Notamacropus eugenii: one gene and its partner. The protein of the gene in region 2 interacts with the protein of the main gene of each other region in a biochemical or structural test. Links are inferred from orthologs where the notes say so. Each region holds a gene or a part of one and is shown on either strand. Other genes may lie near its edges. The genes, in order: POLH and POLI.

The links.
Region 1: the proteins of POLI (region 2) and POLH interact in far-western blotting, tested with the Homo sapiens proteins (2 studies listed by BioGRID). The link is inferred for Notamacropus eugenii from reciprocal best matches to the Homo sapiens genes POLI and POLH.

What each region holds. Positions count from the first base shown.
Region 1 is NC_092873.1:106,529,673-106,533,592, reverse strand, and holds the start of POLH (DNA polymerase eta), read right to left. Parts: upstream 3,013-3,920; 5' UTR 2,964-3,012; coding exon 2,942-2,963; intron 1,221-2,941; coding exon 1,124-1,220; intron 1-1,123. UniProt on the Homo sapiens protein: DNA polymerase specifically involved in the DNA repair by translesion synthesis (TLS). Due to low processivity on both damaged and normal DNA, cooperates with the heterotetrameric (REV3L, REV7, POLD2 and POLD3) POLZ complex for complete bypass of DNA lesions.
Region 2 is NC_092875.1:436,982,386-436,986,305, reverse strand, and holds the start of POLI (DNA polymerase iota), read left to right. Parts: upstream 1-1,022; coding exon 1,023-1,176; intron 1,177-1,274; exon of another isoform or gene 1,275-1,935; intron 1,936-2,218; coding exon 2,219-2,344; intron 2,345-3,920. UniProt on the Homo sapiens protein: Error-prone DNA polymerase specifically involved in DNA repair. Plays an important role in translesion synthesis, where the normal high-fidelity DNA polymerases cannot proceed and DNA synthesis stalls. Favors Hoogsteen base-pairing in the active site.

The DNA of each region.
Region 1 (3,920 bases), on a different chromosome or scaffold from region 2:
TACCAGCCAGAGCTGTCCAAAAATGGCACTGGCTGTCTCATACATGCTACGCACATTCAAACAGAAGCTGGATCACCACTTGTGGAAGGAATTGTATAGGAGATTCTTCTGAACAAACTCTCTCCTATCTATCTTTTCAGCCTGATTTCACTTGATTACCCTTAAAGCACTTACATCCTCCAGCCAAACTGGAACTCGCTGCTTTGTGAATTCAGTTCTCCATATCTCACCTCCAGAGAATTGAACAAACTATCCCCTAGTGTTGTACAGTGGAGACAGTGCTCGGCCTGGAGTCAGGAAGACCTAAATTCAAATCCAGCCTCAAACATTTAGTAGGTATGTGACCCTGGTCAGGTAACTTAATCTTTATCTGCCTCACTTTCCTCAACTATAAAATGGATTGTTGTGAGAAGCAAATGAGACAATATTTGTAAAGTGTTTGGTTTGGTGCCTGACACTTAGAGGGGTTTAATCAATGCTTATTTCCTTCAGGAATGTGTTTGACTAGATGAACTCTGAGGCCTCTTCTGACTCTGTGATTCTATGTATGTCCTTATCTGAAGCAGCTAGTTGGTGCAGTAGATAGAATGCTGGGCCTAAAGTCAGAAAACCAATCTAGAGTTCCAATCTAGCTACAAACATTTCCTAGCTGTATGGGCCTGGGCAAGTAACTTGATCTGTTTGTCTTAGTTTACTCAACTGCAAAATAAGGATAATAACAGAACCTACCTCCCAATGTTACTGAGGGGATAAAATGAGATAATAATTGTAACAGCACCTAGCTAAACAGTGGGCACTTAATAAATGCTTGTTTTCTTCCTTCTTTATCCCACTACTAGACTTTTAGCCCCATCAAGTCAAAAAGAATATCTTACATAAACTGTATTTCCTTAGAGTCTAACACAGTCCTGTGCACATGGTATGGGCTTAAATAAATATTTCCTGCATTGAATAGAGTATGTCAAACATAACCCTTTTCAGGTAATTTGTGTGATGTTGAGAACTAATGAACTAATAAAGCTCAGAAAATTTAAGGCACAAAAACAGATAACTACAATCTAAAATATTACAAGTATATTACAAAAAGTGTAAAAGCATTAGGCATAAAGAGGAAGATCTTTACCTTCTATGGGCATCAGGGAAATCTTCACATAAGAGGTAGCATATGATTTCAGTTTTAAAAGATGGAAACAAGGTGAAGAACAGAACAGTTTTCTCATCTGTAAAATGAAAGGATTGAATTAGATGATCTTTAAATCTTACTCTAAAAATTCTCAGTGCCGAAAGCTAACAATGTAACGTCAAGTTTGATAATGCTTATTCAAAAATTCAATTTATCAGAAGCATTGGTAAAAACTACACTATAAGGACCTAGTCTGTGGTTACACAAATTTTTTTAAAGTTGTAGGAGAAATTAGATGAAACTGTTGATTAACTTTGGCTTTCAGTTTCATCTGTGAAATTCAATTTTATCTCCTTTCTACTAAGGCTAAGCAAGAGCAAAATAGATAAAGAAGAAACTAAGTTTTGATATAATAGCCATTCTTTTAAGAACAGCTAATGTCCACCTGCAGGAAAAAATTGTTTATTAGTTTGGAGGAATTATTAAGAATACCATGTGAGAGAAATATGTTTTGGAAGGTTTCCACTTAACCCTAAGAGGAATTTCTTCCTACCTTCCTATAATGAGGCAATTTGAAGGTTCTTGATAATCATAAAACCTGGGCTAGAATGGGCTAAAAGTAACCCACATTTGAAAATTCTTTTTTTCACTTAGTTTCATCAAATTCTAGTTAACTAGTCTGTAGCATGACATAACACAAAGACTCTTTCTTGGATTATTTAAACTACCACTTTTTAATACTGCACAAAATAGCCAGTTAAAAGATTAACTCACAATTCTACTAGACAGAGTATGAATGACTTTATTCAGTTTATGTATTTTGCTACAGAAACCAGCGTACTTTTTAAGTTTTAAAGCAACCTGAAATCACTAAGGATAATTCAGTATGGTTACTATATATAATTCAATAAAATATTTTAGAGGGATCAAAATTGTGTTGTTCAGTTGTTTCTGACTCTTCATGAGCCCATTTGGGGTTTTCGTGGCAAAGATACTGGAGTGGTTTGCAATTTCTTTCTCCAACTCATTTTATGGATGAAGAAACTGAGGCCAACAGGGTTAAATAAAGTACTCAGGGTCACACAGCTAGTATCTGGGGCTGGATTTGAACTCACAAATATGGTTCTTCCTGATCCCAAGCCCAGTGCTCTCTTTATCTACTATGCCAATTCAACAAACATTTATTAAGGGCCTACTATGTGCATGAAGTTGTGCTAGACAGTAGGAATACAAAGAAAGATGAAACAATTTTTGTCCTCAAGGAGTTTACATTCTCTTATGAGACAACAAAAATGTACATAGAAAGGTCAATATAAAATAAATACAAAATAGCCACAGTGAGGTAGGAAGAATACTAACATATAGAGGGGGAGAGATAAGTAAAGGATTAATTTCAGGAGAAATCTCTTGGTGCTGTGCCTTGAAGCAGTCTACAGATCCTAAGAGGCACAAGTAAAGAGGCAGTAAATTTAGGACATGAGATATTTGACTATGAAAATGTCAAGTTTGGAGAAAACAAGTTGGCCAATTTGGCTAGAAGAAAAATGCATGACAAGGGGTCATGTGCAACTGTCTGGAAAAATAGGTTGGTTAGGGTTAGGTGGTGGTGGGTTTCAAATGCCAAACAGGAAAATTTGTATTTTATCCCGGGAATTTGGCAACTGACTGGACACAAGGGGTGAGGGAGAATGAAGGAGTGCTGATGACTCTGAAGTTGCAAACCAAGTTGTCTGGAAGGATGAGGAGGGCCCTTTACAGAAACAGGGAAGATGGGAAGGGGAGAGAGTAAGGGTAGGAAGATAATGAATTCTGACTCACTAACACATGAATTCTTTATCATCCATCAGAACAGCCGAAAGCTTCTAGGAGAGAATAATTGAGCTTGGGTCCGGGGAGAGAACTTGATCTTTTGCATGATTGTACATGTATAACCTATATATAACTTCCCATCTCAGAGAGATGAGGGGGAGGGAAGGAAGGGAGAGAATTTGAAACTCAAAAACGTTTTTTAAATGTATGTTAAAAATTGTTTTTACAAGTAACTGGAAAAAATACAATATTCCCAGATAGGACTTGGGTGAACCCAAGACCAACACAGAAAAGAGCAATGAGATGGTATTTCTAGAGAGGAAACCTAAATCACTTACACATTTTTATTTGACCTCTTTATTGAGGACAAAGGAAACGGAAAACCAAAAAAGTATAATTCATTAGGTAGTAAGGTTAGTGATATTTATCATTGTTATTAATCTGGAAGTTGGAGTGAACAATGCACAAGTATATTTCAGAGTGCTTAGGAAGTACTAAGTTGAAAACCACAGGAAACATAAATGAGCAGAGAGGAAGGAGTATAGATGTAAATAGGAGACAGAGGTTGACAGTTGAGCACCCAACCATATTTTAAGCATCCAACCATATTCTAGAACAGAAAACAGGATTCAACTGGTAAAAGTTATAGTATGTCTCAATGCTATTAATTTGGAAATGTGCAAAAAAAGATTAAGAAAATAATATCTCTTTATTATTTGAGATATCTGACTGAAAGAAGGAAATCAATTTTAGTTCACTGAACAATAATAGCTAAAGAAGGATGTAATATATCCGCAGTTTAAGTTCTCATGTAACAGAGATAACTCAGCCTTGGAAAGTGGATCATGGTAGCAACTTTATGAAACTACGAAGACGAAAAAGAATCAGACTGCCAGTGGGGAAAAAAAGGCACTTAAAATAACAGGAAAGATTAGAGGAACAAGTGATCGAATGGGGGTTGGGGATATAAGACATAAATATCAGCGAA
Region 2 (3,920 bases):
TATAATGAGGAGACCTTTCAGATTTCTGACTTTGTCTCCAATCATTTCAGAGATTCTATAGTAGCTCCCCTCTAACTGGAATTCTTCAAAAAAGTCTGACTGCTTTTCCATAAAATTATTCTATCCCAATATACACCTAAAACTCTTCCAGTAGCCTTTCTTTTCCCATTTCTTTAATCCCAACAGCACCCTCACCTCTGCCGCATAAACTTCTCAAGGTTCTCCAGGGGTGAACCTGTTCAGACTGTAGTTTTTGAGATTTTTTTCTTTCTTTTGATTTTCATCACTATAGATATATATATAAATATATAGACATAGATATATAACAGTTTTGCTATTTAGTAGCAGCCCAGGCATTCCTGCTTTTTCCAGCAGCAGTTTCATGTGGTGCAAAGGAAGTCCAAGACCTTGGACAAGTCACTTCCCTACATATAAAACGTAGATCTAAATTCTGATTCTTCCGTTAACATTTTTTTAATCTTATTTGTAGTGGACTGAGTTAAAGCCATTACCTAAGAGGCTTCTTAGGGGGAAGGGTGGAAGGAAAATGCCCACTCATAAACAAACAAACAAGCAAATCCCTAATATCTCCTATGGCGCCCATTTTCCCGTGGTCCCCCTAGTCGAGAGCCGGCCAGTGAGGGAATTGGGCCATTGGCTAACGGATGGGGTTACGCCTTACAAAGGAGGAGTACCTACGTGTGTCGTAGGGCTATTTCTGTCGATGTCAACTAAATATGGCTAGTCTGGAGCTTTCGTTCTCTCTCGTGGGGACTTTAGCCTACAGCTCGGTGCCAGAGGGACTTCCCCGTCAGAAGCAAGGCGTCAGCTTCCGTTTCCCTTAAGGCAGGCGGGCGGGCTGAGGAGAGCGCATGCGCCCGCGTGCGCCCCGCCGTTAATTGGCTGGCCGGCCTCGTCCTTCCGCCAAGGCCCCGAAGGGGCGGGACCTGTGAGCCCGCCGTTTCCCGGGGCGACGGGGGCGGAGGCGACAGGAAGGCGAAGCTGCGGTTGGCCGCCGCGGAATGGACACGCTAGGGGTGGAGCCGGAGGAAGAGGAGGACGAGGACGACGAAGAAGAAGACGAGGAGGAAGACACTATGGACTCTCAGCTCTTAGGGGCGGCAGGAGGCTCTCAGAGCGCCACGGGGCCCGTGGAGGCCGTCCGCCTCGCTCCTTGTAAATGAAATGAGAGCGGCTGCGGGGAGAGGGGGAAGGGCCTCGGCCCGCCGGGGGGCGGGGGGCGGGGGGCGGAGGGCGCGGCCCCGCCCCAGGGCAGACTCCCCGGGAAGGGCTTCCGCCGAGAGGTCCCAGGGCCCACCCCCCGGCTCTGGCCCAGAGGAGGGCTGGAGTGAGCCCCAGGGGCTGCCGGGATGTCCTGTGGAGGGTGGAGGGTATTTTTACTTCTCCACGTGTTAGGCAAGCGAGGGTGCATTAACAAAAACATTTTTTAAACTTATTTATAAAAAAAAAAAATCCGAGACACGAAAGGCCCTCCCACCAAGTTCAAGGTTTGAGCAGCTGTGACGTCCCGCCCCGGTCCACGCGGGAGCTGGTCTGTTGCCCGCGTGGCTCTGGGGAGGGATGATGAGATGGGTCCTGCGGGGGCAGGGCAGGCAGGGGCAGGGCTTGTGGCCCCGGGGCGGGGTGCCCTTCCCCGCCCGCTTCACCCCACCCACGGCCTGGCGATTGGAGAGATCTGGCTGGGTTGTGGCTTGGGGCAGGCAGGGCGGCCTCTCCTGGGCCCTTATCGCCCCTTTGCCTGAGCTTTCAAGTCTGCTCGTGGGGATGTTCAGCTCTAAAACACACAGCTCTTGTTCCCCGCCATTTGGACCCTGACGTTAGCCACGTGGGCCGAGTATAGTGAAGTGCGTGAGGAATCAGGTTCCCCTAGTTCCGTGGAAATTATCTAAATCACTTCATCTTCCTTCCAGGAGGGTATTTATGTTTTATGATTTTTTTTCCCTTTTTCGGAATTAAGCAGTTGTGCTAAATTGTATAGATGTCAGGTAAAAGTTGCTTTTTTGTTTTTTTAATCCATTGGAGTATTCTGAAAACTATAACTTAAAACCTTGGCTCATAGGGTAAGTCAGGGAAAGACAAAACTGTTAAGCCTGGCAGACCACACTTTTGTTATTCACCATCTTTTACCACCACCCTACCCTGTTAGCCTAGGGTCAGGAGTCTGAAAATATTTTGCATTCCTTTGCATGTGGTGCAGCAGTTCATGGTCAAGTTGTGCCGGCAGAAAGTGCCTCCTACAGAGTCATAGTACACGTGGATCTGGATTGCTTTTATGCACAAGTAGAAATGATCTCTCATCCGGAATTAAAAGGCAAACCTTTAGGTATTTCTGGACTTACATATTTTCTTTCCCTTTCTATATTTAAGCACTAAATCTGTTAGAATTGCTTTTTTGTTGTTACTGTGTTCCATTCCATTCCATTTTACTCAGCTTAGTATTGTAAAACTTTAAAAGTGATTCCTGTACTGTAATAAGTAGTAATGAAGGGGATATGAATTTTATAATCATTACTTTATAAATGGATCATCTGAAGCAAAGAGAGCAAGAAATTTAGATATGGGCACATACACTTGTCAGTGCAAAACCAATAAATAGCTTAGTTTTATTTCTGGATGGACCTTCAGGCCTAGCTGGTTTCACTGCTTACTTCCTATTTGCATTCATAAGTAAATTATTTGAATTTGTTTCCCACCCTAAAATGTGAGAATAACTACTACTTCTGTTATTATTTGGTTGATGTGATCTAGTCATTCAAAAATTTTTATTCAGTGCCTTATGTGTATAATGCACTATTAGGTACTAAGAGAGATAAAAAAAAAAAATGAAACAGCATGCTCTTCAAATTTCTTCTGGGGAAGAAATGATTCCTGATAAATATCAGATATTATTGTCACTTCTAATCACCAGAAGGTTGGCCACCTGATGGTGAAATTTTTTGGCCATGGCAACTCTTGCAATGACCAAAAATATAAAATGGTCCTCGGCCCTGAATATCCTTTTTTCCTGGCTAAAAGGGATAGCAGATACTCAAAATTAACTGGTTCTAGACCATCTACAAATGTTCACTGAAATTTTGTTTAAATGATTTTTTAAAAACAAATTTGGAATTTGTCAAAGTCATTGTCATCAACAGTAATTTATTGAACCCCTTATCTGGGCTGGGCCCTTTGCTGTTTTATATAAAACAGTATAAAACACAATCCTTGTACTTGAAGTTCAGGATATTTGCACTTTTAAAAATTAACCACAGGTAGTGTTGTTGAATTTGGAATAAATAAACACAAGACTACATAGTTAAAACCAGAAGAATTTGCTTCAGATTTTGACTCTGCCGTTCACTAGCTGTGTGACCTTCCTTAGTTATTTTCTCATGACCTTCATTCCTTCATGAAATACAAAGGTTGATTTGATCAAGCGGTTGTCATACTTTTTGAACTTAGGATCTCTTTATATTCTTAAAAATTATTGAGGACCCCAAAGAGCTTTTATGTGGGTTATATCTCTTGATAATGTATTAAAAATTAATATGTCTAAGTATTATAATGGGAATAGTTTTGGCCTTGTGGATCGCCTGAAGAATACCTCCAAAGTTCACAGGACCATACTTGGAAGAATCAATCTTTAAAAGTTTTAGTTCTGACATAGATGAGTGTAAGTTTACCATGTAGGCCGAAAGTTCTGCAGAAGTAGATGGTTTTGTGAAAGATAAAGGCAATGCAGAGCCATTCATTGCAATTGGGAAATTGAGTTTGTTGGGGGGAAGGGAGTAAGTATTTATATAGCATCCACTACGTGCCAGACACTGTGCTAAGGACTTTATAAATCTTCTTTCATTTGATCCTCACAACAAAGCTAGAAAGTAGGTGCTGTTAGTATCCCCATAGTACAGTGGAGAAAA